4 linked regions of the Tamandua tetradactyla genome follow. The main gene of each other region encodes a partner of the protein of the gene in region 2 in a complex. Links are inferred from orthologs where the notes say so. Each region holds a gene or a part of one and is shown on either strand. Other genes may lie near its edges.

What was found.
Region 1: the proteins of TGFB1 (region 2) and ITGB6 are in contact, whole or in part, in a crystal structure (PDB 5FFO), measured with the Homo sapiens proteins. The link is inferred for Tamandua tetradactyla from reciprocal best matches to the Homo sapiens genes TGFB1 and ITGB6. Residues at the interface, in NP_000651.3 of Homo sapiens: Pro70, Gly71, Pro72, Glu75, Leu158, Asn237, Gly245, Asp246, Leu247, Thr249, Ile250, His251, Met253, Asn254; in NP_000879.2 of Homo sapiens: Ser142, Ala143, Ser144, Asp146, Asp147, Pro196, Cys197, Ser199, Ile200, Pro201, Tyr202, Lys228, Lys231, Ile232, Ser233, Ala234, Asn235, Ile236, Asp237, Thr238, Glu240.
Region 3: the proteins of TGFB1 (region 2) and TGFBR2 are in contact, whole or in part, in a cryo-EM structure (PDB 9FKP), measured with the Homo sapiens proteins. The link is inferred for Tamandua tetradactyla from reciprocal best matches to the Homo sapiens genes TGFB1 and TGFBR2. Residues at the interface, in NP_000651.3 of Homo sapiens: Arg303, Lys309, Trp310, His312, Tyr368, Tyr369, Val370, Gly371, Arg372, Lys373; in NP_003233.4 of Homo sapiens: Phe47, Leu50, Phe53, Asp55, Ser72, Ile73, Thr74, Ser75, Ile76, Cys77, Glu78, Val100, Asp141, Glu142.
Region 4: the proteins of TGFB1 (region 2) and ITGB8 are in contact, whole or in part, in a cryo-EM structure (PDB 7Y1T), measured with the Homo sapiens proteins. The link is inferred for Tamandua tetradactyla from reciprocal best matches to the Homo sapiens genes TGFB1 and ITGB8. Residues at the interface, in NP_000651.3 of Homo sapiens: His117, Thr241, Arg243, Arg244, Gly245, Asp246, Leu247, Thr249, Ile250, His251, Gly252, Met253; in NP_002205.1 of Homo sapiens: Ser156, Ala157, Ser158, His160, Asn161, Asp213, Tyr214, Asn215, Leu216, Gly248, Asn249, Ile250, Asp251, Thr252, Glu254, Gln286.

The regions. Positions count from the first base shown.
Region 1 is NC_135329.1:130,969,555-130,977,534, forward strand, and holds the start of ITGB6 (integrin beta-6), read right to left. Parts: upstream 3,014-7,980; 5' UTR 2,687-3,013; intron 1-2,686. UniProt on the Homo sapiens protein: Integrin alpha-V:beta-6 (ITGAV:ITGB6) is a receptor for fibronectin and cytotactin. It recognizes the sequence R-G-D in its ligands. Internalization of integrin alpha-V/beta-6 via clathrin-mediated endocytosis promotes carcinoma cell invasion.
Region 2 is NC_135342.1:22,447,959-22,455,545, reverse strand, and holds the start of TGFB1 (transforming growth factor beta-1 proprotein), read right to left. Parts: upstream 3,002-7,587; 5' UTR 2,052-3,001; coding exon 1,697-2,051; intron 1-1,696. Other genes in the region: B9D2 (B9 domain-containing protein 2), read right to left, coding at 3,732-4,045, 6,490-6,615. UniProt on the Homo sapiens protein: Transforming growth factor beta-1 proprotein: Precursor of the Latency-associated peptide (LAP) and Transforming growth factor beta-1 (TGF-beta-1) chains, which constitute the regulatory and active subunit of TGF-beta-1, respectively.
Region 3 is NC_135341.1:57,549,070-57,555,918, forward strand, and holds the start of TGFBR2 (TGF-beta receptor type-2), read right to left. Parts: upstream 3,018-6,849; 5' UTR 2,588-3,017; coding exon 2,494-2,587; intron 1-2,493. UniProt on the Homo sapiens protein: Transmembrane serine/threonine kinase forming with the TGF-beta type I serine/threonine kinase receptor, TGFBR1, the non-promiscuous receptor for the TGF-beta cytokines TGFB1, TGFB2 and TGFB3.
Region 4 is NC_135327.1:103,729,193-103,736,801, reverse strand, and holds the start of ITGB8 (integrin beta-8), read left to right. Parts: upstream 1-4,597; 5' UTR 4,598-5,673; coding exon 5,674-5,800; intron 5,801-7,609. UniProt on the Homo sapiens protein: Integrin alpha-V:beta-8 (ITGAV:ITGB8) is a receptor for fibronectin. It recognizes the sequence R-G-D in its ligands.

The sequences.
Region 1 (7,980 bases), on a different chromosome or scaffold from region 2:
GTGTGTGTGTGTAGTGATATAATAATTAATTGGTAACAATGGGCTTGGGCAGCACATGGAGTGATAGACTCACTGTATGGATGTGTGTGATGTGAGGGAAGCTATGGGAACGGAGGGGAAGCGCCATCAAAAAGACAGTGCTCAAACTGAATGGCTAAGGAAGAAAAGTAGAAGATTGCTCGGCAGAGAAGACAAACGCATGGACACAAAGAAGAGCCTGATGGGTCTGGGGAATAGTAAATATTTGGGTTTATGTTGTATGTCAATTGGTTATGTTTATGCAATGAAGGAAGGATGGAAAGCTGGTGAAGATCTTGAAGAATCTTAAGTAACAACCTAAAGAGTTTGAAATTTATCTTGTGAAACCTCTGAAGGATTTTAAACAGAAGATTAATGCATCCTGATTTATTACTTTTGAAGGATAACTGAGGTTAGGAGGCAAGGAGACAGGTTGGAACAGTTCTTATAGAAGTCTAGGCAAAGGTTGATGAAATGTAACAAAAGCGGACATGCAAAAGGAAAGGATCAACGACTGGTGCTTGAGAACCTGAGTGGACAAGACACGGTGATGCCTGGTGGTCGATGGATTTAGTGAAGAAAGGCCAAATGAGCCTGAAGTAATTAGGGGTCGTAGAGTTGGATACCTGGATGAACTCTGTGTTGTTAAACAAGAGTTTAGTTTTAATAGTACGGTTTAACCCTACGGGGGTCTCACAAGAAGTGAGGACATTGTAAGGAAAGAAGAGGTGGGGGGACAGAGCAGATAATGGTGCAGAATGGTGAAGAGGAAACTCAATGCCAGCAATGTGAAGGACAGTCAAGGACCTGCTTGCAGGAACTCCAACCAAAAATAGCATTCTGGGCTGGGCTGGCAGGCCCGAGCGCCGTGGCTAGGTGGGTGCCATCCCCGAGAGCAGGCTGGGTGGCTCCCTGGATGACCTCAAACTATACTTAGCTCCCACAATCAGCTGTGGCCCATTTCCAAAGCAGCAGCAATGGCAGCTGACAGCCTGGAGAGACTATTTTCTTCTCTCTAAAGAAAAAGTGCCCATAAGCAATACATTTCCCAAGTGGCTATTCCTCCTGATTTGAAGAGGGCTTCTGTGGCTGAAAATATGCCTGTGGCTTCTATAAGTCCATCTCTAAAAAAATTTCTTTTCTCTTGAGTCAAGATACCTGGGTCCCCTCGGGTAACTTAGAAGAATCATAGAGCAAGCTCTACCTCTGTGAAATATGTCAAAGAAACGCCTGCTAGCACACTTTAGTTATTGGAGTATCTTTTCCCCTTCTGGTTGTCACAATAAAAGTAAATTTAGAATGCAAGGATCCAAAGGCAGAGAAGGAACATAACCCTAACAAACAGATGTCCATTTGGAATCTGAAGTTTGAAAACAAGATTCTGCTAAGTTTGAGACTCTCAGATAAAACTTTTGCTATCGCCCAGAGTTCTGGTCTAAACATTTGCTGGTAAGTTTGCTTAAATACACCAGCAACATATCAATAGATTGCAATCCCCTGGAGTTTTTTTGTTTGCTGGTTTGTTTGTTTTTGTAAATTGAAGTTTAGATCCTGTGCTTTGTCCAGTAAACACTAGAGGGAGTAGGCTTCAGCTAGAGGAAAAAGGCTACCATGGGGATGAAGAAAAATCTGAGACTGAGGTGGAAGGCATTTCTGCATTTCAATGAGGCACAGGATTTTACTTAGGTAGATACCAATCTTCATACTATGACCAAGTGACTTCATATTTTGAATTCAGTATTAAAAACTTTTAGATATGATCTTCGGAACCTGTTCAATATCTAAAACATAAAAGAAAACCATTTTTCTCTGACCAGAATCCATATTCTGTCCATTTCAAGCACTTTGAGAGCCAATAGGATATAGCTCCATCTGTGAGTCGTTCATTTTAGAGGACACATAATCTGGATGAATAACTTTTCAGAGATATTAGATTTTTTTTTTACAGGGCTGTACTTAGAGTGCCCATGGTGAATGGCACTGATACCAGGCATTTTCAGACACTTGTAGGAATGAAACGTGCTCATTGTAGATTACAAGTCTCTATTAGAAGCCCTCCCCTCTTTATTTTTCTCCCTAATTCTCATGGCTTAGCTCTACATTAAAACACTATTTTACAATCTAGTTAAGAAACATTTGAACTAATTGGCCCACGTCATGCACAAGTCAATGAGAACTGATGTTTATTCTTCTAACTTAAATTTCCAGTTCTTTAGTTCTTTCATGCCTTTTGGAATGCCATAAAAACTAGTGAAGGCTACAGTTTCATTGTTTATTTTAAAAAAGAAAAAAAACAACAATGAATACTAGTCAGAAACAAATCCTTTAAGATCTTAACAAGAGACTATTTAGCTAAACATTAACCATTTTACTGAATAATGACCTCTATGAAATATTGTTCTGAAACCATTGCAGGTTTTTGAAGTGAAGCTGTTAAAGCATGCAAATCCAAATGTAAGAAAAATCTCAATAGAGCATAAGAATCTGCCCTTTTACAAACCTCAGGGTCAGATTCACCTGGATGTTAATATCCAGGTGAATATTAGTAGAAATTACATTATGAACTTTCTAAGGCAGAATCTGTTGGAAACTATAAATTACATTGACAAGGAAAACTCAGTTCCCAAATTTGGGTTTGCGTTTGTTAGTCATGCATTATACTACTTACCTCTCAGGGCAGACCTTTAATTTCAGAGATTGCTGAGATGCATGACTGCACCCGTTATCAAAAGTCTTTGGCAGAAATACCATTTATCCTTGTTGTGGTAATAAACAGATTTATAACATTCTGGTGCCACCATTCCTGAAAAAGCACATTCATTTGAATATTTTTTCCACAAACATGGTGAAATATTTCATGAAGGCGCATGGGGGTAGAGTCTTAGGGAGAGATACTGCTCGTAAATGACAGAACGCCTGGCTGATTTACATGAAACCCCAAGTGCTCATATGAGAATAGGTTAGGTTTAGATTGACGAGCAAATGTGTAACCAGACTTCTGGCTGACAAATGGCAGAACTATGCCAGAGCATTAGCTTTTCTGGAGTGAGACCAGAATTAAAGCAGGAGGATCAAGTTCATTCCATAAAGGACATTCAAACCTAGTGGATGGCAGGGTGGCTGGTTACTAAGCACATATAGATTTTAATACTCCAAAATAGGATTGAGTGAGTTTACAGTTGGGCTGGCATCCAAGCAAACGATCCACTTCCCATCATGTTTATATTGACATTTCAGAAGGGTCCTGTTATTTTCAAGATGTCAATTTTAATGGTAGCTTTGGTTTAAAGTCACTGATCTCTAAAAATGGCTTGATTGGGTAAACCAGGAAATGTTAATAAAAACTGATGAGATTAGTATAAAAAATGAGGCCAAGTATTAAATGGCCCAGATTGTATTAGATTTATTCTGGCTGGGCACAGCTGAGGACAGAGACATCCACACAGTTTTTGTTGAGAATGATAGACTGTTTGGAGTATATACTCTTCTTAGAGGGCTGAGGATGAAATTTCAGGGCTTTGGGCCTGCCTCTAAGGAAGCAGTGAATATGGTAGATATTGTCAATCGAGTTTCCACCACGTGCCTTGTCTGCTCAGCACTTGATGTGCATTATCTCATTTAATTCTCACAAGCACAGTGAGGCAGATCTGCTTTATGATCTTTGCTTATGGATGAGCCCGAGGTTCAGAGAGAGTGGTTGACTTGTCCAAAGTCACACCCTAGGAAGTGACAGAGTCAGAATTTAAACTCCAGTCTGACTCCAAGGACTTTCCCCCATGCTGCACTGTCCCTTGGGCATCTGGGGAACAATATTGGTGAAGGTTTAGCAGTTTGCAGGACATGAACTACTTGAGTAGTAAAGAGGCAAGGGAACAGAGGTGGAGTCAGGAGACCTGAGTTGGAATCCTGGCTTTAACATTTACTGGCTCTGTGATCTTGGAAAAGTTCCTTAACCTCCCTGAGCTGTTCCATGTATAAAACGTATAAAGAGTATGCGTGTATGTGTATGGTAGGGGTACGAGGAGGTCTTTAAAATTCCTTTTAGTTCGAACATTTTGTGATTCCGTGTGCCTTCAAGGGGCTTTTATTTCCTTTAATTGAGGGGCACATTTGCTCTTTGGCTTTTTTAAGTGAATTCAGATGTGAGGAAACACTTCCATTTGAAGTTTAAGAACTGAGTGAATTTCTGCCACAGAGATATTCCTCTTCTCTGCAAAACTCATTTCCTTTGTGGGTTGCACCAAAACAGACTATCTGTTATTTCCTGGGTGGATGACTCCACTGGGCTCTGAGCACGCTCCTCTGCTCACAAAGGAGCTGTAGCGAGGCCTGTGGAACACACTAGAAACACAAAATGGTTATTTCATAATATTATCACAAAAGAAAACTGAAAGTTGGCTTTCCTCTGAAGGCGATAAACATTACTCCCGGTGGGTAGGGAACCAAATACCCAAACAGCTGCCTATTTGGGATGCTTTGTTCTATTTCTGTAAATTAATGAGGCTTTATTTATAATTCACTCTGATATGCTGACGAGCTTTCCCTGAAAACGGCTGTCTCCTCTTAAGCCCGCCGCCCCTCGCTTGGTTGTCCTTCACCCGTTCTCCTGTTGATGGAAATGTATACATTGGCCATCCGGCGTGGGCCACGCATCACCTACTGCTCGGCATTCTCTGGGATCAAATGACATGGACCAGGCTCTATGTGGGCAACAGTTTGTAAATTCCTTTGATGTTGTGCCTTGTGACACTTAATGGCTAAATCCAAGCTTTTGCTATCTGACCAAATGCCAAATGTGCTAGTCCCTGAATATTGACAATCTTGCAGATATCTGGATAGGAAAATAAGATAAAACTACAGGGAGAAAATATTTCAGAACTGTTTGTGGAGGGCTAATTAAGTTAAAGCTTTGATACTTGGAAATTTAGTTGAACAGAACATTCTAGTTCATTAAGAGCTAAGATAAAATATTTTTAAAAGGTCATTTAATATGTAATGAGTGCCATCTATGGATAAGGTATGGTATGCGGAGAGGGATAAAGGTTCAGATAGGTTTTTTTGTTTGATGTATTTCTTTGGGTTTTTTTATAACCATTACTGTTGGAAATTTTGTTCTATTTCCTTCCGGCCCTTTCAAATGTTTGATTTTTGTTGCTTTGTTACAAAGATGTAGTCATACAGAATATTTATTTTGAACCCATTTTCATTTCATCTAACATTATAAGATTCATCCTAGGCATCATTCTGTTATGAGCATATAGCAGTTTGCTTAACCATTCCCTTATTTGTGGAACATTTGGGTTGTTTCCATTCGTATTCCATTATTTAAAAAATGCTATGAAGGAAATCTTTAACATAGAAGTTTCCCCCTTATTATTTTTATTACCTATGGCAAATTCTCATATGTGGAATTATTGGATCAGAGGGCAATTTTAAATGTTACATGTTATCAATATGCACTGCAATTGCTTTCCAAAAGAGTAGTACCAAATTCATTTCTCCACCATTGTGTAGTGTGACTTTGTGTCACTTTGTTTCTTTTTACTGTTTCCAACATTATTGGTTTTTTGTTTGTTTGTTAACACTTGTGCTTATATACCAGGCAAGCTACTCTTAAAGTTAAACACAAATTTGACATATATTATCTTTTTCATTCACACAGTAACCTTGCAAAGTAAATGTTTTCCAGATGAATAGATACTGGGAAAGATTAAGCGACTCGCTGGAGTCCACACAGCTATTATCTGAGCTGGAACTTGATCTCCTTCTCTTGAGTTCAGGCCTCTTGTGTGCCCCCTCAGCCACAGCTGCCCCTGAAATAACCAGGAGGGGTCTAGGCTAATTAGCCCTCCAAGCTTGAAAAGGCTTAGGGGTCCTTAATGTATAAAGATGGAACACATGAGCTGGCGTAGAGAGGAACGTGTCCAAATGGCTTTTTCCCCCTAAAAAATAAACAAATTTTCTCAAGTAAAGTGAATACTTTTGATTAATTAAAAAAAATTAATTGTTGCACACCCTCCCCATGCACATTAAAAAGATTTTAAAAAAAGGAAAAAGAATGTCATTGAATAGTTCCGAGTGTTGCAAAATTTTAACTAAATTCAGACATACACGAGTAACTCCAGTGGAAGTTGTTCGTGCATATCTGAAGACAGAAGGTGGCCTTTTAACTTTAGACTATTAAATGCAAGGAAATTCATAGTTAAAATTCCACTTTTAGCTCCCAAGCTACAAAACATGAAGGACAAGACTGCCACAAAGCTCAGTAGCCTGTTGGCATTATAGAATTCGGTAGGCAGAACGCAGTGAGTCAAGATCGCACCTTCATTTCTCAAAACAGCTGAATGGACTAAAAGTACGTGCTTCTTTCTTTATAGTAAGAAATCAGGCTCTGCAACAGGTTGGTTCGTGATGTGTGGAGCAAATGACAAATACATCCCAGCTGGAGGGGGTGGGTGCGCCAGGTATCCAACTGGGCATCGTCTTGGGAGAAGGAATACGAACCACATAAACTTCTCCCTCTGCAGTGTGCAAAGGAAAAACCCAGCTTGGAGGCCACTGAGAAATTCGGTAGGATCTGCTGAATGTGGCTTGGGGCACAGCAGTTGAGAGTCCATTCAGCTAGAGTGCCGGTGTTTAGGAGGCTCTGGGAGAGAGCTGGAGGTTGATGGTCTGGATAAAGGAACTCAAGGAGGGGCTTACCTGGCCTAGATTACAAAAGCCCCTTAATCTCTAACCAGACCACCCCCTTAAAATGAAAACAAAACAACAGCAATAAAAACCAGTATTTATTTTACAAAGACATGTTAAGTGGGGGGAAGCAGAGAGAATGTCTTGGTAACATCATCCACGACTCCTTTTAAATAATTACTAAGAAGGCTGGGTTCTTTAAACACGCAGATGATCTTTAGAGGGTTCCACACTGAGATGAAACTACTTCAGTGCATCACGCAGTGCTGAGAGGATGATTTGGATCCATTGGGCCTTTAAGGAGAAAAACTAGGAGAAGCAGGATGCCTTTGTGGAGAAGGGACCATCTCTTCAGGTCCTTTGTTTTGTAGCCAGATTTGAATTCTAATCAGTGAGGAGAAAACAATAATGGAAAGCAGCTATGATTTCAAAACCAAACCTTGTAGCCGACTCCACTCTGCCAATATATTTTCATAGCCTTTTGTCTGAGAGGCCAGGCAATAAATATCCTTATCATCTAAACTGCTGCTGGGAGTTGGAATCTTGTTTTGCTGGCAGCATTAAGGAGAAGGCATGCTGAGCTGAGCCTTAGGGGTCTTTTCTCCCAGCCTAGTCTAAATGGCTATTCTCTCCAACGTGACTGGAGTGCTTTCCTGTCATCTCCAAACATTACATGCTGTGATAACATTAATTCCCCAGGCTCATGGCCTCATGACACTGAGGAATGCATGTAGGGACAGCGGAGATGGGCAAGCTGGCTGTCCGCTGCAGCCCAGCTCCACCCGGGATGTGGAGTTGGGGAGGAGCTGACCCTCGTTTTGCCCCCCATTGCCTTTGGAAGGTTTTCATTTGTTTTTTTTTTTTTTTTGCTAGTAGATGGTCCCTTTGACCTCCTACTACATTCCAAATCTTTCCAAAGCTTTCGGAGAGGTAGTGGTTCAACCAAATGTGCCTAATGGGAGAAGATTTTTGGGTCTGGCTGTTCCTTCCTTTGCAGCATTCTTTTATTTCCCCAACCCACCCCTTTGCTTCCTTTGAAGTCAGTTTGAAAAAGACAGAATTGGGGGACCTTAAGTTCTAAGAGTCTGCGAACTGTAGACTTTGTGCAACCTCTTATTTTTGAATGCTCAGTGGTCTCCAAACTTTATGAATGAGTGGCTCACTAGAATCAGTGAGATTCTAAATCACTTTCTCTCAATATTTGTCCTTTATTTATAAATTGTATACATGTACTGTTGAACTTACATGTTATGTTAGCTAAAAACACATAAA
Region 2 (7,587 bases):
AATGGGAATTCGGGAGAGATAGACAGAAACTGGGAGACCCACACAAGGCAGTAGATGAACAAAGAGGAATCACACATACAAGGAAGAAAGAGATGGGTGCAACTGGGGCGTGATGGAAAGTCAGGCAGAGACGGGGAAACACGCACACGCGGGAAGAGAGAGATATGTGGGGCCGCCGCAGACAGCGAGGCAGTCTGGGATGGGGGTGGGGGGGACCCAGAGACGGGGACACGGAAGGATCCTTGTTAGAGAAACCTCTATAATGACCCTGACGCGATGGGAAAGGACAAGAGACCGAGATGGGAGAGTGACAGGCTGGCCCCGCAACCTGGGCGCAAAAATGGCCCCGAGACAGGCAAGTTCACGCGGGGCGCCGGGACGCCAGGGTCCCTGCGTGGGCGCCGACCCGGCGGACCCACCGGTCGCCCCGCCCCCAGCCGGGATGGGGGGAGCGGGCGGGAGGCGTCGCTGCCGCGGGGGCGGGGCACGGACCTGCCTCGTCTCGCCCCGAGGCTCGGCGCTCGCTTCCCGCCTCCCCCGGGGACACGGGAAGGAAGAGGGAGGGGGGCAGGGAGGGCGAGGCGGCCGGACGCTGGGGTTTCCCCAGCCGCCGCGAGAGGAACTGGGACTTTGGGGTCCCAGAGCTCAGGCTTGAGCTCTGCGGGGTCCTCCTTCCCCCTTTCCGGAAGCGCAGGCTCCTCCCCCCGCGCGTGGCGCCCACGTGGGGCTGTCTCACCCCGACCCCCTCGGTTTTCTCAAACCGGGCTTAGCAAGTCACCCCCGCTCACCCTCCCCCCTCTTTCGGAAGGTACAACTTCTCACTCATTCCACTCCCATCCGGCCGCGTGCGGGGGGAGCTCCCTGCTCCCAGCATGACACCCTCCGCCCCCCCCCACCGCCCCAGGTCCACCGTTCCCACACTTGTCTCCCCTCTGGGTAAAACCATTCCCGTGACCCTGTAATCCAGTTTTCCCGGAGGGTCGCTTCCTCCGCGGGCTCCCCCTCTGTATCGCACGTGTCCCTCTACGAAACACCCACGACAGCTCCCCGGGACCCTTCTGGGGTCTGCGCTTCCCTCCCGCTAGCCTCCCCCTCCCCATGACCCCGCGGCCCCTTCTCCCGGCATTTATCACTTTCCCCCTTTTTCTCTCTCTGGGACCTTCGTCCCAATCCTGCGTGTCCCTCGCGCCCTCTGGAAGTGGTCCGCTCTCTCACTTTCTCGGCACCTGTGGGGGGTTCGCTTCACCAGCTTTTCTGACCTTCCTAAATTTTCGCGCCTCCGGGTTCTGGGGCAGCTTTTTCCACCGTCTCTCCTTTGCCAAATACCGGGGTCTTCGCTTCTCCCAAACCGGGTTCCCCTCTCCACCCCATAAACCTCCGCATTCTAGCGCGCCGTGGGGGGGAAGCCTTTCTGCACCCCGCCCCCTGCTTCTGTCTCTCCAGGGGGTCTCTGTCCACGAGCTGCTTGTTCCTGCCGCTACCAGCACCCCCCGCCCCCGGAAGCGGTCCACTCCCAGGGGTCCTGAACCTGGACGGGGAGGGGATGCTGAGCCCCACCCTCTTTAGACCCCTTCCCATGAGCCCGGGGGTCCTGTCCGTCCAGCCGGTTTCCCCTGCCAGGAATTTCCTCCCCTGGACCCCTGCACACCGGCGCCCCCTGGGGGCCCCCTCCCGGCTCCCTGCCCCCCGAGCTCACTCTGGTTGTTTTCCACCATTAGCACGCGGGTGACCTCCTTGGCGTAGTAGTCCTCCTCGGGCTCGGGCTCCGGCGGGGCGCTCTCGCCGGCCACCCGGTCGCGGGTGCTGTTGTAGAGGGCGAGCACGGCCTCGGGCAGCGGGCCGGGCGGCACCTCCCCCTGGCTCGGGGGGCTGGCGAGCCGCAGCTTGGACAGGATCTGGCCGCGGATGGCCTCGATGCGCTTCCGCTTCACCAGCTCCATGTCGATGGTCTTGCAGGTGGACAGCCCCGCGGCCGGCCGGCCCGGCGTCAGCACTAGAAGCCGCAGTAGCGGCAGCAGCAGCGGCAGTAGCCGCAGCCCGGAAGGCGGCATGGGGGAGGCGGCGCCCCTCGGCACTGCCGAGCGCGCGAACGGGGCTTGGGTGGTGGGGGGAGGCCCCGCCCCTGCAGGGGCTGGGGGTCTCCCGGGGGAAGGTAGGAGGGTTTGGGGGGCAAAGTCGAGGCCCTCCGGGAGAAGGGTGCCGACGTGGTTGGAGGGGAGGCTCTGGCGGGGTGGTGGTGGTGGGGTGGCTCGGTATCCCACGGAAAAGATGGAGATGGACGAGAGCTGGTACCAGAGGGTGGATGGTCTTGAATGGGGGAGCTAAGTCAGGTCTGCGAGAGATCCCGTCTCCCGGAGGAGGAAGGGTCCTCGGATGCGCCGGGCCTCAGGAGGGAGGCCGGGTGGCCAGGGAGCGGCGCGCAGGGGGGCGCGCCGGAGGTCCGGGGTAGATAACGTCTTCGCGGGAGTCCGGGCTTGCGGCTCCTCAGGGCTGGTCCGGAATGGGGGCGTCTGGGGGACGCGATGTAGGGGGCCGGGAGAGAGCAAGCGTCCGAGGCGAGGGTGGGAGTTCGGGGTCCCTAAGTCCTGCCTTCTCGCGGGCAGCGCCGGGCCAAGCGGTCCCCGCACCTCCGGCTCCCAGCGGCAGCGGAAAAGTCTCAAAACTTTTTTTTTCCTCTTCTCCCAACCAGTTCGTCCCTCCTCCCGCTCCTCCTCCCCCTCCTCCCCGCAGTGGCGGCGGCGGCGGCGGGGGCGGCGGCGGCTGGTTTCGGACTCTGGGGCCTCGGGCTGCTCTGCGGCAGCTCCTTCCTCCGGCTCCGGGCCGAGGCCGGCCCCGCGGGCGGCTCAGAGCCGGGGGGGTCCCCCGGAGGGGGCGTCCCCCCTTTCCCGGCCGGGGCCTCGCTGTCTGGTGGATCCGCGGCAGCAGGAGGGAGGGGGACGGAACAGAGCGCGTAGGGCGGCGGTGGCGGCGGCGGGGGACCGGCTGGGTCGGCAGGGGGTTTTGAAGCCGCCCCGGCCCCACCCAGGAAGCGCACGGGGCGGGGGCGGCCCCCAGGGGAGGGCACGGCGGGGGGCCGGGCCACTGTCTTCATCTCGAGTGGGCGGGCTCCGAGGGGGGTCCCTCTGGAGGTGGGGGGGAGAAAGGGCGGGCACCCTGGCTCCGCCCCATTAACTGGGTGCTGCCTCCTGGCGGCCGAGAGCTACCAAAACGTGCGACCGGGACGCGCGGGGCTTTAGAGGCGGCGGGAGGTCAGCAAGAAAACGAGGACGTGGAGTGTGGGGCTGTGTGTGTGTCGCTTGTTCGGATGGGGACAAAGGGGAGAGTGGAGCAGAACAGGGGCACACAGAGCGGGGAGAAGGGTCAGAAGTTGAGGCAGAAGGTGAGGGTCTGAGGAGGGAGGGTGTATGTGTAGGGTTTGCCACAAAAGGCATTGGTCAGTTGAAGGGGGTCAAGAAGGCAGTTACACCCTAAGAAGCGCTCTCTTTTATTGAGCCCCTCCCAGGTGCTAAGCAGCCTTTTCTCAGCACTCACTGCTCCCAATTTACAAAGGGAAGCTGGGACCCAGAGGTCTGATCACTGGTTCCAGTTCCTAATAAAGGCAGCAGCAGGGCCCAGTGTGGCTGGAGTCAAAGTCTGTCAGACTCCAGAGCCCAAGGCCTGACCACCGTGGCATCCTGCCTCTCATTAGGATCCAGAGATGTGGGTGGGAGCAGCTGTGGCGGCAAAGTCCCTCAGCACTCCACACCATAGCGGTCGAAGTGGCGCAGCAGCAGGCCGAGCTCAAGGTGCACGGTGCCACCAGCAGCCGTGTGCAAGCGGTAGCGGTCGGCCCCACTGTAGATGGTGTCTCCGTGTAGCAGCTGTGGTCCACCACCCACGAAGGCCCGGGCTAGCTGCTCCCACCAGCTGCCCAGGGGCCGCCACGTGGGACAGTCCAGCTGATGGGTGCCCGGGCTGCTGGGCACATGGCAAAAGCTGTAGCCAGCAAGCTGGCAGCGGCCAAAGCTGTCCTGGGACCACACCTGGAGATGCAGCCGGGGCCAGCCTGCAGGACAGGAGGGAGAAAAACAGGGAGTGGGCATCATCCAGCCTGGGATATTCAGGATCCAGCCTCCTGTTTCCAAATCCTCTCCCAGATATTCACTGGAGCCCCCACACCCAACCTTCTCCCTCCTGGGTTTCTGCCCCAGCCTTCTACCTGGGCTTCTACCCCGTGATCCATGCCTCCCGCCCCCCACCCCCACAGTAACCAAAGGTATCTTTCTAAATCCATGTTCCTCCACTGCTCAAAACCCTTCCATGGCTCCCCAGTACCCTCAGCGTAAACTCCAACTCCCTTAATATCCAAGTTCCTTTGGATCTGACCTCTGCTGACTTCCTTCTTGTGGCCTCCTCTTCCATGTCCCCATCTCCAGGTAGCCCCTCTGCTCCCCAAGTCCCCAGGTTAGAGCCTTGAGCCTTGTTGTCCTAGAGGTCTCCCTCCTCCCCTCCCCAGGACCCCAGCCTGACCTCCCTGGGCTTGGGGCCTTCTTTCTTGCCCCCTCCGTTCTTTCACCTGGCAGCCATATGCATCTTTCTCTCCCTTCCACAGGTCTCCAAGTATCCTTGGAATACAGATCAACAACTCAGCCTGGCAGTCAAAGCCCTTAGAGATCCAATCCCATCTCACCCTCTACTCTGACCCATATGCTGTGTCAGACTTTGTTCTAGGAGCTGAGGAGAAAGCCCTGAATGAGGCAGAAAAAATTCCTGCCCTTGTGAAGCAGGCATCCTAGACAATGAATATAGGAAATAAGTAAATTATAGGGTATGTCAGATAGTGATAACTGCTCTGGAAAAAGGACAGGGTAGGGTAGGGGTGGGGATGCAGATTTAGAAAAGGGTGGGGGAGGGCAAGAAAGGCTTCATGGAGAAGGTGATATGCACGAAGTCTTAAAGGAGGAAAGTGTGTGCCATGTGGACATCCAGGAAGAGCGCTTCCAGCGAGGGAAAAGCCAGTGCAAAGGCCCTGAGGTGGATGTGTGCCTGGCGTAGCTTATATGGCTTGAGTGGAGTGACCCTAGGGGAGAGAGAGAGGGAGGAATGACAGCGCCACACTGTGCAGGGCCTTGAGCAGCCTGGTAAGATCAGCTTTTATCCTGAGTGTGGAGGGGGCCATGAGATGGTTCTGAGAAGGGAGGGACATGCAGTCTCTGGCTGCATGTAGGAAACAGACCTTGGGGGTACTCTTCCGGGAGGGAGATGAAAATGGATAGCACAGGGTGCTGGGAGAGAAAAAGGGGTAAAAAGTAGCGGGATTTAGGATATATTTCAAAGGTGGAACCAGTGGGATTTCCTGGTGATGAAATGCAGGGTGGAGAAAAGAGAGGAGGCAAGGATGCTGCCAATAGTGGGAGACAGAATTGCCTGTCTCACACCTCCAATTCATCACTCACATGGCAGCCAGAGGATCTTTTTAAAAGTGCTAACTGACTTGTCCACTGCCTGCTCTGGCTCCCCAGTGCCTTCAACAGATGGCCTCAGTTTCCCCGCCTGGCATTCAAGACTCTGCACAGCCTGCCCTCTGCTCCCTGGCATCCTCCCATTCTCTCTTAGCCCTTCAAATACCTCTGGCTCACTCTCCCCTTTGAGCCTTCCCCATGCAGTTCTGTCTAGAACTCTCTTCAATTCCTCTGCTTATTAGCTGCTCCTGGCTCTTCTCATTGCAGTTCAAATGCCCCCTCGTCCAGAAAGCCTTCTGTGATTTCCCTGGCAGGGTCAGTTCCCTCTTCTAGGCTCCTACAGTCCCCTGTGCCCCTCACGGGCTGCCAGGCCTGCCCACTCTGACCTGGCACTATCTGGGTCCATCTTCCACACTGGATAGTGAGTCCTGTGAGAACAGGGCTGGGGCTGTTCATCGCCATGGCATCAGAGTCTCCCTGGCATCACCCAGCACAGGGCAGACCATACGTAAACATTATTTATATCGTTAGAATAAACGGCATATTTACCTGGGCTATGTCCTGGGATCTGTTCCTTTCCAATAACCCAAATTCTTCAGCATAAAATGTTTGCTGACACCCCACTCCCCTGAATGCTCAACTCCTCTGAGCTACACCTCTGCTATTAAGCTGAGGAGCTGCCACTAGTCCCCACACCTGTCTGTTCATCTGGCTCTCTCTCATAACCCCCCTCCAGGCTTCCTCCTCATCCAAGACCCTCTTCATCTGTCTCTTGGAAGCCCCCTCCCCTCCCACCCTGCCCCCCAATCCCATCTCCCCCTCCACTCCCTGGCTCTGCCCAGACCCCCGCCTTTGGGACCTCCTGACAGGCCAGTGGCTGGGGATGCCTCAGCTCAGCCTCTCCAGGCCAGGCGTGGCTGGGAAAGGGGCCCAAAAGGTATGGAAGTAGAGATGGGGCATAGTATTTCCAGCCCCTGCAGCCTTGGTGCTGCTAGCTTCTCGCTCCCATCCCCCTCACCCCAGCCTGGGACCCAGGTCTGGAACCTACCTTGGAGGCCTTTGGTGGCAAAGTGCAGGTCGATGGGATGGGACCAGTAGGCCATGTCCCCCACCTGGGGGGTGTCCACCTGCGTCTGGCCCTCCCGTACGCCCGACAGTAGCTTCCATGCTGCCCCTGTGAGGAAAGCCAGGGCCCTGAGACAGAGAAAGGAGGGGAAGAGACAGCCACCCAGAAGGCAACGACATCACTGTGGCTTTTAGATCCCCATTTCACCCTGGCATTTGAGGTCAGAGGTTACAAAGCATGGGCAGCAGTCAAATGACTGGGTTCAGATCCTGGCACTACGTGTTCCTGCCTTTGCAACCTTGGGTGAGATAACTTTCTCTGCCTCAGTCTCTCATCTGTAAAATGGGTGTAAGAATAATACTTTCCTCATCGTTCTTTGAGAGAATCAGAGTTAATACAGAAAAAGCCCCTAGAACGGCACCTGGGAAATAGTGAGTGCTGGGTAAGGGTTTGATATTTTATCACTATTCCCACCCCCACATTAAAAATCCTAGTGCAAAGACTAAGATGGGGCTGAGGGTATCATCTATGGGGGCACAGTGGAAGAATAGCAATTCTGTTGAGGGGTGATAACAATAGCAAAAGCATACTGGGTGCTCACTACATGCCAGATACTGTATGAAGCACTTTAGGTAATGACTTCATTTAAGCCACCCTCTAGGATTCTTAATCCCCACCCATTCCACCCCATCCCCCAGCTCTCAAAGCCCTCCCCCACCCCCATCCTCAGCTCCCATCGCTTTTCCCCCTCCCCAACTTACAGCCTCACTGGTCCTATTTCTGTTCCCCAGTGTGCCGTGCTCATTCCCACCTCAGGGCCTTTGCACTTACTGCCCAGAAATTGCCACTCCTGGCTCTCCCTATGGCTACCTCTTTTTCATCCTTCAGGCCTCAGCTCAAGTGCCATTTCCAGAGGGGCTCTCCATAGCCCTGCTATCCAAAAACTTGTCTCTTCCACATCATCCCACTTTTTTTTTAATATGTGATCATTCCATTCTACATATATAATCAGTAATTCACAGTATCATCACATAGTTGCCTATTCATCATCATGATCATTTCTTAGAACATTTGCATTAA
Region 3 (6,849 bases), on a different chromosome or scaffold from region 2:
AGAGGAGCCGTCACCATGGGATGGCTAGTTTGAAAAGTCGGCACTGAATTCAAAATGTAATTAGTATTTTGTTTAAACTATAACTGGTTAAAAATAAGATGTTACTAAAGGAAGTAGCCTGGGGGGGAAATGTGCTTTATGGAAATAAAGTAAATAGACCAGAGATCAAATTCTGGGCCTAATGATTCCTAGTCTCTGATCCTGACAGAAGTAACAATGCTGTTAATGTGATTGTAGGAACCAGAAAGAAATTTATTCTTATGACACTTGTATGAATGTTTAGGTATGTGAAAGTAAAGAATCCTTTAGGTATGTGAAAAGTAAAGGTCATATTTTTCACATCTAAACAGTTTTCAGGCATTTACATTTTTCCCTAAAAGAGTAATTTCTTAATTTTGAGTACTTATGAAGAGCGAATCTACTAAGTCAAATAATAGTAATGATATACTTGGCAGTGAAATTTATTCTTGTACTGAAATCTATTACTCTCTTTTCAATCTACTAAACAGATGATGGTATGATATACTCTCAGCTTACCTAATAGGAGGCTATAAACAAACTCATTTCCTCATATCTTATCTTACTCTAAGATATTTTAAAAAATGATTTGACCGTTAACCAACTATGTTAGAAAACACTGAAACTATTTCCTGACACAGAAAATTAAAATGCAAGTAGAATTAGGTTTCTCATCTTCACTATCACTATCTCAATCTTCAACCATCTTTGAAAATTTAATTTGGGTCAAGTGAATATAAATTCAAAATTATTTATTTCAACTATTTTGAAACTTTAATTCCATAAAAGTATAAAAGTGGGGTTTGTTAAAAAAGACAAATAGAAAATTACCAGGCTTTTAAACTGATTGTTTAAAAGTGTATATATATATATGGAATGTAACTGACTCATGAACTGCTGAGCCCAGAATTTGCAAATTATAAATCTTATTTTTGTAAACAAAACCTAACCCATGTAGACAAACAAAATTGGAGCCCACTAATTTTCTTCTTTCATAATCTGAAACAAAAGTCTTAATTCTTAATGTATGCAGAAAATTAAGGGTGCCACTTTTAATTATTTATTAGCAAAGACAGAGCTCAGTTTTTAAGAGTCTAGAGTAAAATCAGAGACTCTTGAGCATTCTGTTAACTGCACTGTAGGAAAACATCCCAAAACAAAAACAGTGAGGTTTTATTAAACCCTTAGGACTTAAATTTGTGTTAGGATTTTTGTTTGTTTGTTTACAACAGTACTTCTTCCTCATTTCATTAAAAACTCCCACCCTCAGGTTACCGTTGGTCTACTTCAAATAGGCAGCCTATGAAATTTACCACCTTCCACACCACCCTAAAGGTAAGTGTAAACTGTGTCTCCCCATGATATGGAGTGTCATCCTCTAAATTTCATCCCAAATCTGCACAGGCCATCTCCAAGCCATCAAAAGAAATAAAAGAGCCCACAAGATGTTAAAGATAAAGGGGACATCAAGTTATCTAATCTGAATCCAACTGTGTCATTTTACAGGTGAGAAAACTGCATGCAGCCCAAAAAGGTCATATGACTTGCCCAAATACTCAGTTACTCAGACCACAGCTGCAGATAATCAGTTATGTGGCCCTTAGCTGCAAAAATTCTAGCTTTTGAGGTCTCAGAGATTCTACACTTTGCATAACAAAACCTTAGGAACCTAAATTCTGTATTCCCCCCCCCCCCAAAACTGTAGAGATTAAAAGCTGGTGGGCAGCCGAGGCACAATTTTAACCCTTTCATTTCCAACCGAAACAAGAATTGCAGAGAATCACCAACTCCTTGCAGGCAGGACTGCCTTCCTCTCAGCAGCATCCCCAGCAGCTAGTAGGCACTCAGCCTTCCATCTGACCATCCCCACTGCCCATCCAACGCCAGGATGTCAGTGGAGCCAGATAACTTTGCTTTGAAAATCATTTCTTTTCTTGAAACTTTTATCCAATAGCTCAGAAGCCCGCCTTGGGGAATGCATTTTCACTCTTAGGCGCTAAGGAGGGAATAAATGGCCATTTAAAGGGGTGTCTCGGGAAGAGAAGAAGGTGGGTGCGCAGCATCGCCACGGCCCGCAGTGACCCCAGGTGTGCGAGCTGACTTGGCGGCCTCGATGGCTGCAGCTCCGGGCCGCTGCTTCCCTGCCTTCTTCAGATAAACCAACTTCTCAAACTTCCCTTTCCGGGGGTGGGGGCTCGCCTCGGCCGCGGCCAACACAACGCCTTTTCCTACTCGCACAATGCGGGCCAGACGTGCCCCAGGCCCCCTTCCACTCTAACTTTCCTTCTCTTTTAAAGAAAAACTCACGCACCCCTGCGGCTACCGGAGTCGGGCTGCGTGGGTGCCGCGAGAGGAAACTTTCCCGTTTCCGCCCGAGCGCTAGCTGCTCCGGCTCGACTGTCAAGCACTTCGAAGGGGCGGGGAGCCCAGGAGACCCCAGTCAGTCCGCCAAGCCCCGGCTGGGGGGTCACTCACCCGACTTCTCAACTTGCGGCGGGATCGTGCTGGCGATGCGCGTCCACAGGACGATATGCAGCGGCCACAGGCCCCTGAGCAGCCCCCGACCCATGGCAGACCCCGCTTCTCGTCATAGACCGAGCCCCGAGCGCAGCGGACGGCGCCTCCCCGGTCCCCTGGCTGCGCCTTCGCCAGCTCCGCGCCGCGCCTTCTCCGAACCCCGCGCCGGGCCCGCAGGCCTAGTGTGCGGGCCAGATGTGGCGCCCGCGAGCGAGCACGGAGGGGGCCCGAAGGCTGGCGAGGCGCGGGGGGGCCCCCGGCGGCCAAGGGGAGCTGCGCAGGAGGCTGGCTCCTGCCCCGGGCGTGTGCGCGCACTGAGGAGTTGTCGGTCCGTGCGGCGAGTGACTCACTCACAACTTCACCCGGGCGCTGCGGGGGAAACAGGAAACTCCTCGCCAACAGCTGGGCAGGACCTCTCGCAGCCGGAGAGCCTTCTCCCTCTCCTCGGCTTTCAGTCCCGGCTCTCTCTCAAAGCTGTCAATCATCTCCCCTGGACCAGCCCCTCTGAGGGCTTTGGCAAACTTTCAGCTGCCCCTCACCGCCCTCCCACACCACTCTCCAAGTTATTTGCGCAGAATGACTAACGGCAGGCCTGTCAGAAAAGCAGCTGAACCTAGGAAGTGTCCACACTTTCTGTAGTCCCCCCACGAAGCCCACCTTCCCAAGTCCTAACCTTTGGTTTGTTCCTGGGTGCTTTACAGAGTTGTGTTTTTCAAACTATCAGTCGGGACCCATGAGTGAATCCTGAAATCTGTTTTCGTGAGTCGAAGCCTGTTTTTTCGCTAAAATAGTAAGGATAAGTAATGACTTCGTTAAAATTATGTTCAGTTATGTATATATGTATGGGTGTCACATTGTGAAAATGTCTTCTTACTGGTATATACCAAGTCCATCAGGTTCTCTCAAATTTAATGCGTGTATGGGCCACCTGGGAATCCTCTGATTCGATAGGTCTGGGGGGGCCTGAGTTGCACTCCTTGGAGTTGGCTCCATTTTCAGTAGCAAGGCTCTAGAATTGCCTCTTCCTGGGGTTGAGTCCGTGCATAATTGTAAACGGTCAACCATCACAGAATGATAATGGAGGAAATGTTATTTTCAGAATGTATCAAGTATGGCAGAAAATGGAAAAATGAAAGTGACCTGGGATTCACCAAACGCCAGCGTTTGCATTCCACTATTGCCCAGGAAGAGAACTACCTAGCATCTCATTTGCAAAAAGGATACTAGTGGGAGCAGGATAGGACCTTTCAAGTTTCCCTTCTTGCTAGGGCGACCAGTTTTACCCAAGGTAATTTTGGTTTACATCTATTTTCACAATTTAATTATTATTAGAACCCCCTTTTCTCTTTCAGATATGTCCTGGCCGGAATGACTTATATGATCATACTACGTCCAGTTTTCAGCGTCTTAGATTTTGTGTAGCTTGCTGGCCAGGAGATCTTCCAGCAGGCTATACAATGAATTCCTTCATCTGAGAAAACAATTGTTTGCAGAGGCAGGTGGTCAGTTTCACTGGGAATAAAAGTAAATACTTCCTGAAACCCTACTCCTGAACCCACGTCAAAGGGCTCATTTGTTTAATCCTGGGACCCTAAATCTCACCCCCACTGCTCCAGCATTGAAGCTGCCTCTGGATGTGTCTTTTAGGAAAACGCCCATCCCACATCCCTTGTTCAGGATGCAGGAAGTGGGTGAACTCAGCGTAGCTGAACATCTTCTCTCCCACCAACAGCCTTGCCAAAACTGGAGACCCTTTAACATGGAGGAAGGTTCATTGAAAAATCCATTTTTCCCCATTTTCTCTACAACCCCTCCCCCCACTTCTGTCACTATTATCCCTTTCCTGGAGTTACTTGGGAATCTCCTAACCACTCTTCCTCAGGGTCATTCCTCAAAGCAAAGCTGGAGTCCCTCCAAGCTGAAAACCTGATTATACCAATCCTCTGATTAAAATAATTAAACAGCCTCCCACTGCTCTAAAGATAAAGAAAAGACAGAAAACAATTTTTTAAATGTATTCAACCCCCCACCTCTCCTGTAATCTTCCATTTTCTACTTCCTCTCACATGCAGGGAGCCTTCTCTAAGTTCCTTTAGCATGCCCCGTCTCTCCTACACAGGGCCTTCCTCAGTGTGAATTCCCTTCCTCTTTCCTTCTCTTCCTCGTCACCAAGCCAACTCTTGGTTTTCCTTGGTGAATCATAATTTCCTTGATGGGCGAGTATATTTCTCTAAGTGGATTTTTTTTTATCAGTTTCTCTTGGCACCATATGCCTCTCCTTTTAACATTTACCATGGCTCTAATTTCTCACTTATTTTTCAATTATTTGCATCATTCCTTAATTTCTATTCTTCTTCCTAACTTAACTCTAATTTCTGGAGGGCAGGAATCATATCGTCCCTCCACTCACTATTATAGTCTCAGTATCTAGCACCTAATAGATTTTAAATAAATACATGTTGGATGAATGGATGTTATAGGCTGAATCGTGTACCCCACAGAGAAGTGTTCAAATCCTAAATCCCTGTCTTGTGAATGTTACCCTTTTTTGGGGAATAGGGTCTCTGAACATGTGATTAGTTGAAATGAGGCAAAACTGGGTTATGACTGGTGTCCTTATGAGAAAAGAGAGATTTGGACCCAGGAACATACACCTGGGAAGAAGTGCTGCCCCTGCAAGCTAAGGAATACCAAGAATTGTGGCACCCTACCAGAAGCTAAGTAGGAGCAAGGAAGGAGTCTCCCTACAGGTTTCTGAGGGAGAATAATTTTGCCAATACCTTGATTTTTGACTTCTAGCCTCCAGAACTGTGAAACAATAAAGTTATCTTATTTATGACACCCAATTTGTTATGGCAGCCCGAGGAAGCTAATATAATGAATGAATGAGGAAAAAAAAAGTTCATAAGAAAATTTTACTTAATTATCCTAGTTACTTCATAACTCTGAAAAAAAGCAGTATATGACCTGGTAATTTGAGATGTAACAGAACAGATTATATCTGGAGGGTGATGTTGCCACCACTTCCATTTCCTGAGAATGGAGATATATGTGAATTATTTTCCCCTTTCTTTTCCTTTTCTAAATTTGCATAAGTTCTTGTGGGCAATATACATGTACTTCCTTACTCCCCAGATCACACTGAAGCAAATAAATGCCCATCAATTCCAAGGCTTTTTTTTTTTTTTTTTCTGTGGTTATCAGAAAGATAGATGTTTTGTATTGTTAGAGGCCAGGTTTGGCTCTTGCCTGCCATCTTTCTTTACTTGCAAGAGTGCCTGTATGTCCTCTTATATTTGTATCTAATAAATTTCCTACTTGCTTGCTCTATCTGTTCAGTACCCTTGAATTCTTTCTTGCAGCGCAGTCAAGAACCTGGAAACCAAAGTCCAGCAACATATTTTGGTGTTCCAGCCAGAAGACACTTCTCTCTAACTGTCTGGATTGCCCTCCAAGAAACAGAAAACTTAATAGACAAAGGTCTCCTCTTTTTCATTTTCTAGAGACCAGGATTGAGATATTTGATTTCACAGTGCAGTGTTTAACTGGTAGCCTTTGTCATATTTTATCATTAACATTGATTTACTTTTGTTTGCCTTTAAATTTTCTGATTTAATTTTCAATCTCCTGTGAAATTGAGAAAAGTATGAATTCAGCATTGCCAAGAACAAATTAATCTTTCAGAAAATATCACAATGAAATCATTGACATAAAAATTCATGTACATTATAATTTGGCAATCTTAAAAATCTGTCAATATGCCCTTCTGTTAGAGATTCCCATTGAGAGAAAAAGATGATAACCTCAGATTAAGACATTTTTTTCATGTACAATTGTGTATTTGGCTTAATCAAATTTTCTGTGTATTCTCATGGGTGGTTAATATATATATGCATAAAATGGGCCATTTGAGGTGGAAACAGGAAAAGATGAAAGTTTGGCTCAAGATTTTTAAAATAAGGAAGGTAATTTTTATACCTACAAGGTTGAAAAATGATTTTAAATACACCTTGACAGCCATTTTTCAGTTTTACAAACTCTGCACACATACAAACAATTAAACTGAATCAAAATATGATTAATCCCATACCCTGAATTTCCCAGCAGTGATGAGACAAAAACTTTTTTTTTCCTCTGAACTTTCTAACACGCAGCTGTTGAGGTTATTGGCAGCTATAGAAGATGACAGGGAGATTCCTCTCCATGCAAATCATCAATCTGCAATCTCAGCTATTATCTCTTGACCAATGTTCCCCTTATTAAGAAGCAAATCAGTAAGCCCCGAGATGTGAGTGAAATTATTAGGGTCACCCA
Region 4 (7,609 bases), on a different chromosome or scaffold from region 2:
CAGAAGAGATTTCCAAGTTAAATGTGCAAAGTGAAGCCTGGTTTCTCCTCGCAGCTTATAGTGAAATGCAATAGGAAAGAGATAAGTTGAGAACTGAACTTTTGGGTACAAAGAAACCAGAAACTGATGGTCTGGAAGATTTGGGGCTTCCAGAAAGGCAGACCTTAGAGAATAGTGTCCTATGTGAGGATTTAACCAAATATGGAACCAGTCAGCCATTTCAGGAAAAGCCAGGATCAGAAACAGAGTTATCCAGGAAGGATCTGTTGAAAGTCCTATTGTCTGATGGTTATGATCCCTGCATACTACATATAAAACCAACAAGAGTGTGGTGGGATCTGTATAAATGGAACCACTGCGAGTCTGGACTAAAAGGGAGAGAAAAGGGACAAATCAAAGGAAAAATAACATCAAAAGCAGAACCGTGGAAGCTAAGGTTTGAAGCCAAGAAACTTCGGACCAGGAGAGCAGACCCACCCTTGCACTTGGAGAGGGTGAGTCTGCCCTGAAGGCAGAGGGTGGACCTTCCACCTCCATGTTCGGGAAGAGTTGCACTCCAGGCCTTAAAGAGGGTGGAGCACATTCCTTGGAAATTGGGGAGAGTCTGGCTGCCACAACATGGCAGGGTTGAGTATGTACCCCAGAGATGGGAGAGAGCCCAGATATGGCTGTGATTATTAGAGAGGGTGGAACCCAGAAAAAGGTCGTCTCCCCAATATCTCCCAAGGTTGCATTTGGAGAGAGCTGGGCCACTGCATAGGCCATTGGAAAGGGTGGGACTGCTGCTTTCTAAAGCCCAGAGAATAAATGACTCTCAGACTTTCATATGTAAAGGAGTTTGCCTTGCAGGTTTTGTCCCTATATTCCTTCTAGTTTCTCCCTATGGAAATGGAAACATGTATCCCGTGACTGCCCCTCCTTTATTATGTTGGCAGCAGATAACTTTTTCTAAGTTTTACAGGTCCACAGCTAGGAGCATTTTGCCTTAGGACAGATAATGCCTAGAGGTTTCGTACTGTTTCTGATTTTGTATTGCACTTGTATTTTTACTAAAATGGTTTAAGGCTTTGTGATATTGTGATGGAATGAATGTATTTATTTTACATTTGGAAAGAACATGTCTTCTGGGGGCAAAGGATGGAATGTGTTGGTTTGAAACTATCGTGTACCCCAGAAAAGCCATACTCTTTAATCATCATTTAATATTGCTGGGTGGGATCTTTATGATTGTTTCCACGGAGACCTGACCCACCCAATTTTGAGAACTTTTGATTATGTGGTTTCCATGGAGATATGTCTCCATCAAGGTGGGGTTAACTATAGGAGTCCTTTAAGAGGGGATCATTTTGGAAAATGCCTGTACACCTTTTGAGATGCAGAAGGAAAACACTCCTGGGGAAGCCTTAGGAATGAGGAAAGAAAGTTAGCAGACATTGTCATATGCCCTCCTAGCTGAGAGAGAAACCCTGAACTTCAATGGCCCTTTCTTTGGAATTAAGGTATCTTGCTTTGGATGCCTTAATATGGACGTTTTCATGGCCTTAGATCTGTAAACTTGTAACTTAGTAAATTCCCTTTTTAAAAGTCATTCCATTTCTGGTATATCGCATTTTGGCAGCTTACAAACTGAAACAGTAATCCTTCAGTGAAAAGTTCTTTCCAGTATCCTCTGTTCTTTTTCACAGGAAGCAGTTAGATATCAGTCACAGTAATATATTTCACTGGACTCACCATTCAACATTTCCTGTAAGTGGTAGATGAAGCAATCTCATAGGCAGCTTGAAGTTATCCTTTCAAAGCCTATAGAATATATCTGATCCCAACTTCAGAAAAACTATAATATTAAGACATGAATATGATTCTAGCTACAGCTATTAGGTCATTTGGACAAAATTTAGTTATTGCGATAAACCAAAATAGTGATAATAAATAAAAATTTAAGGATTAGGAAAGAAAGCTAATTCATCTAATTTAATGATTTAGCAACTTAAAGAATTTGATGATAGGAAGGATGAAATGAATAGCTAAAATGTTATTTTTAGATTATCTGTGAATTTAATTTGCTCTCATTACTGCAAATGATGAAAAATTAGCTGTTAGAAATTTCAAAGCAATACACTAGAACATGATAAAAAAAGAAAAAGAATTAATCAAGTCACCATCTTTTCTTTCTCTCTTAGACTTTTTCAGGTAGTATGATGAAGATAACAATACTGAATTACTTCAAAAATCCTGTATCTCCTTATAGGAAAAAAAAAAGTTGCAGCACAATGACCAGTAATATTTATTGGAAACAAGCAAACATGTTGTTCCTGAGCCACTAGTTACATTCATGATGAGAAAACCCTATAGGTGATTTTTGGAGTTTTAGAATTCATTTTTATCTGTGTAGGCCAAAATGTATGAATAATTTGTAAATAACTTAAAGAGATTACAGTCTCCCATCAAGAATGTTTTATTTTATTTCTACAACCAGAATTCCAACCTTTTTACAAGTGGGAAGTGGTGATAAATAGAGATTGGCTTCACCAGCTCTAGAAAATTGGTATGTTGACATACATTTGTACACATCTCACGTAATAAAAGGAAGAAGTCTTTCTTTCTGAAGGGCTTCAAAACTTCCTGAAACAGAATTATAAATTGCATCATATTCCTCTTGTTACACAGTTGGTTTGGCTTGGTATGTATTATATCAGCACCTAACAATATAGTTACAAAAATTAATGCATACCTCATCAATGTTACAAATGTACATCCATTATTTCCCTGACTTCATATTTTATTTAATACCGTCATTGTCATTTCAAATCTAGCATCAAGAATTCGATTTTAACATATGTCATGGAACTCTGACATAATAGTCCTGTACAGTGTAGAGTGGACTAACACATTTCCTCATGGGGCGTATGGATTGACTTTTTTTCCTTATTGCAGCACTGCACTGCGTTCTTAGGTCTGTAAAATAATCTCTGGAAAACATAAATGCTGCCCAAATAAAGAACCCTTAATCGGAGCTCCAGTGTGATCATCTAGTGGTCACATGGTTCTGTCCTCACCCCATTCCAGCCACTTTACAGACCCTTCATTTTAAGATTACCAATATAAAGCCATAGCTGCTCGATCATGGAACTAAGGAAAGAAATAAGGAAGCTGAGTTGAATTTAATTCTGTCTATTTACAGCACGTTGCCTGTAAACCCAAACATAATTGGGTTTACAAGTTTCAACTTTTAAGGTTTCGATCATGTCTTTGGTCTTTCAAAAGAATCTGATCGGTAGATCCAGGGCGCTTTTAATTTTGCAGCTGGGTTCCTGGCTTGTTAGCTAATTCTGCCGGCCTCAATGTGCAGTCCACACCTGAAAGGGGGAGTTTTCAACGTTGTGGTTAATTAACCAGGTACTTTCCATTCACTCAACTAACAAATAGAAAACAGAAAGAAAAAGAGAGCCTTCCACTTAATTTTTTTCGCTCCGAAAGTGGAGACGGAAACGGTTAAGCAATACGAAGGAAGAAAATCCCCGCATATTTTGCCTTAACCTGGCTGGACTGATCTAATACCTGCTAACAGGCGCGTGCTCCATTAAAGAGGTCTGCTAGGCGGCTAGTGGAAAGAAGAGAGGTCAGACTTCGCGACGGGAGCCACTGCTGCCTCTAGAGGACAAAGATAAAGATCACCCGTGTCTCAAAAACCTTGTCTTCAATCCGGGGGATTGGGTTCCCTCCCATGGCCCGGCGTGGTAGTGACAGGACCCGAGCGAGCAGGCTGCTTCCCCGACAGCTCCCCAGCTAACATCCTCTCCCCTCTAGCACCTAAATGTCTGAGCTGCGAGCTGGCAGCAGCGCCTTCCCACCTCCTCTCTTTAGTTTCTCTGTCCCCGCTCCACCGTCGTCTGTAACATCTTTGTGCCGCGTATCGGGAAGGTGACGCTTAAGGTCAGAAGACACACTGTACCTAGCAAAAGCCCAAGGCCACCACCAGACCCGGAGAAAAGCGGGGTTATCGGGCCCCCCTGGCAGAGGCTCCGAGTGGAAGGGCCGCAAGAATTTTCACCAGCAGCTCAGTTTCATCTGCAGACTCACCCAACTCTCCAACCCTGGGGAGACGGCCGACGGCCTTGGGGTGGGGCGAACGCGAGCTAACTGCAAGCAAAGCCGGCGGCCGCTCCCCCAGAGCAAAGAGTGTTGGGGGCGGGGAGAGGCCCCTAGATTCCACTTTGTAGGCTGCAGATGCGGGGCAGTATCTCCGAACAAAGGAGCGCACAGCGCGGGGGTGAGTGGCTGAGGTTTGCGTGCAGCTGCCACTCGTGCTGAGCGAGTCTCCACACCAGCTGGGCGAGCGATGGGGTGCAAGAACTCGGGGGAGGTGGGAAAGAGAATCCGAAGCGCGATTCCTGTTGCGCGGCTACGCACCAGGACTTCTTGCGAACTATGGGAATGGCAACTATCCGAGCCAAGGGGGGTAGGGGTGGGGGGAGAGCCAGAGTGAGCAAAACAAAGAGCGAGTGTGGGCCGCGGTGACTTCATGCCTCACCAATGTCCCGCCCACGCTGCTCGAGCTGTTGCTGCCTCTGCCGCCTGGGCCGCCGCCGCCGCGCCTGCGGGCCGCTGGGGCCGAGCGCCGGGTAGCGTGGGGCGGTTTCCTAGCAACTTGCGGCCCGCAGCACGCCTAGCTACCAGCACATCCGGAGACCCCCGGGGTGCCGGGACAGGCCCACCCCACCCCCGCCCGTCGGCAGCCTCACCTCCCCAGCACCCTCGCCCGGTGCGTCCCAGAGAGCGCCAGCTGCAGGGGCTCTCAGCGGCGGGACGTGTGCGCCGTGCGCTTGGGTCAAAAGGACGAGGGCACGAAACCCCCGCCGCGCGAGGCCAGCCTCCCAGCGCCACCGCGGAACCTCCCTGTCCCCGCGCGCGGCCGTCCCCTCCACTCCAGGCCGAGCAGGGAGCCGGGATGCTTCGGGTTGGGCCAGCGGGCGCCGGTGGGCACTCCTAGGGTGCTCCGGGAGACGCCGCCTCTTGGCTGCTGGCACCCCGAGCTTCCTTCCTCGCCAGCCAGGACGCCGCCGCCTCGTCTCTGCCCGCTACTTGTCTAAGGAGGCTGCAAAGCTGCAACCCAGTGCAGTTGCCCTTCCTGCCCACCTGTGGAAGAAGATCGCGCTGACTGATGCGCCATCAACTTTTCCCCCTTCGGCCTCCCCGGCGTCCCCTCCCACAGATGCAGCATCACCCAGTGAATGTACTTTAGGGTGGTTTTTCCCCCCAGCTTCGGGCTTTGTTTGGGTTTGCTTGTGTTTGGCTCTTTGCTAAGCTGATTTATGCAGCAGAAGCCCCAGCGCCTGGAGAGAAACAAAAGCTCTTTTCTTTGTCCGGGAGCCGACTGCCGAGCCCTCGCTCGCGTCGCCGCCGAGGGCCACCGGCAGCCTGAGGCGGTGCTTCGCACGGAGACTGCGGGGGTCGCCGGGCCGAGCTGGGAGGGCCGCGGGGGCCCTGAGATGCCGAGTGGTGCCGTGGCCCGCGTACCTGCACCGATTGCCGGGAGCTGCGGGGTCCGCCCGCGCGTCCAGCGGGTAACGTCCTAGCGAGCCTCGGTCGCGGGCCCCGAGGTGCGCCCCGGAGGCGCGAGCGCGCGCGGGGAAAGAAGCGAGGCGGCGGGCGCGGTGCGGGCTGCTTTGCAGTATGTGCGGCTCGGCCCTGGCTTTTTTTACCATCGCATTGGTCTGCCTGCAAAACTGCCGGCGAGGTCCCGCGTCGGTCCTCCGGGCGACCGGGCTGTATTCAGTTGTTCTCGGACTGGCCCAGAGCGGTAAGTGGTTTTCGTTTGTCTCTTTCTGTCGTTTGTTTTTGTTTTCCTCCTCTTTGCTTCCCCAAAGGTATCTGGACTAGCACGAAAAGCTGCCTGGCCAAACTGTCCGGGCCAACAAAGTAGCCGGGGTCAGCCTTGGTCTGTCCTGGGAACTTGTGTGGCAGAGTCCGCCTCGGCAAGCAGCCCCAGGGAGGCCAGGTGTCAAGCCCTTCCGCCTGGAGTGACAGCAATAACCAATTATACGAGGAAATACTGTTCTTTTCTCCTGGGTTGGGGAAGCAGTAATAAAATGGAAGTTTGGAAGTGAGGTCGTATTTGCAGAAGCCAATTTAGGGAATCCAGCCCATCCTTGAAGTATTTGCACAGAATATGCTCCACATCTGTCTAATATTTGAATACACCAGGTGGCATTTGACTCAAGGCTGTGAATAAATTGACTGTCAATTTTGAGTCCACAACAGAAAAGAAAGCAGCCTGCAAGTGTCTTCTACCATACAGCTCAGCCTGAATGAATTAAGCACACCTGAGTACACGTCTTCTTTTAAGTCACCATCTTTCAGGTTGTTTTTTTAAAAACAACAAAAACTTTCCCAGCTATTTAATCCCTCACTATGATCAGTCCCTGAGATTGAGTAGCAGAGAGAACCCTGAACCCCAGAATTGACAGCTTTCAGTTCAGGCATGCTGCTTTTGTCAGAATTAGCATGAGTTTGAAAGTCTACCTCTTTATAAACTTTATCCTCATTTGTGAAATGAGGACAATACCTGCTCTCCCTAAATCACAAAGGGAAGCTCCATCAAATAGTGTATGAGATGTTTGGGGTTTTTTGGATTATATGCAACGTAAGGTGGTAGGTAGCATTGGATTATAAGCAGAAGTAAAATATACAAGTAAGGGTGATGTCCATTTAGGATGAGTCCTTACTAATTTTAAATATAGGTCAAACATTTATTTTTCCCAATGCAGTGATTATTGCCTGTATATTATATACCTTTTGACCTTATCTGTGTTTAGTGGTCATTGAGTCTTTAAATTCTAATAGAACCTTTCTCTGACCTTTCTGGTTCTAGGAAAGTTTAATAATCACAGTTGCTTTGTAGACTTAAACTTTACTCCTACACTTAAAATTGAAGCGCAAAGTTTCTGCCTCAAGCTAATTAAAACAGTCAAATCATAACCTTGTAAAGAAGGGCTTAAAGTGGAAACACCCAACTAGCTTCACTTAATTGTTGCATATGTAATTGTCTAATGTTTGTGTCAAGGAGATTTACCCAGTTATGTAAAATACGGGCAATTAGAATAAATTTTATCCTGCAGTTATTTTGTGGCTTTTGTGTTGATTTCAAAACAAATGCAACTCAAGGCAAAGGAACAAGTAGCATTGACTAGCATGAATTTATTGAGGCAGTTTTTCTGTAGAGCATAATCCCATCCTATTTCAAGAACAAGTGACAAAGTGTTTTTCTAGATCTGGTAAACACATACACACATAATGGTAAAATGGCAAACTTGTATGAACAGAGTTTATTTTTACCCATACACATGCAAAAGAAAACATCCTACTTACCTCTATCTCTAGATGTTTCTAATAATGGTAATATATTGTTTTATTCATTGTATCTTGTAAAGATTAGTCAAATTCTCATGTGGTAGCACTGTTTGCCCATGAAGTCAATGTAAGTGATTTGAAGCGCATGTTATGAATAGGCCTCCTTGCACCTGCAGTTGTGAAAAGGGAGTGCTTATCTGAAATCAGAACAAAGCATCCTATTCCCAATCTCTGTCAACATACAAAGGTTTCTGATGTG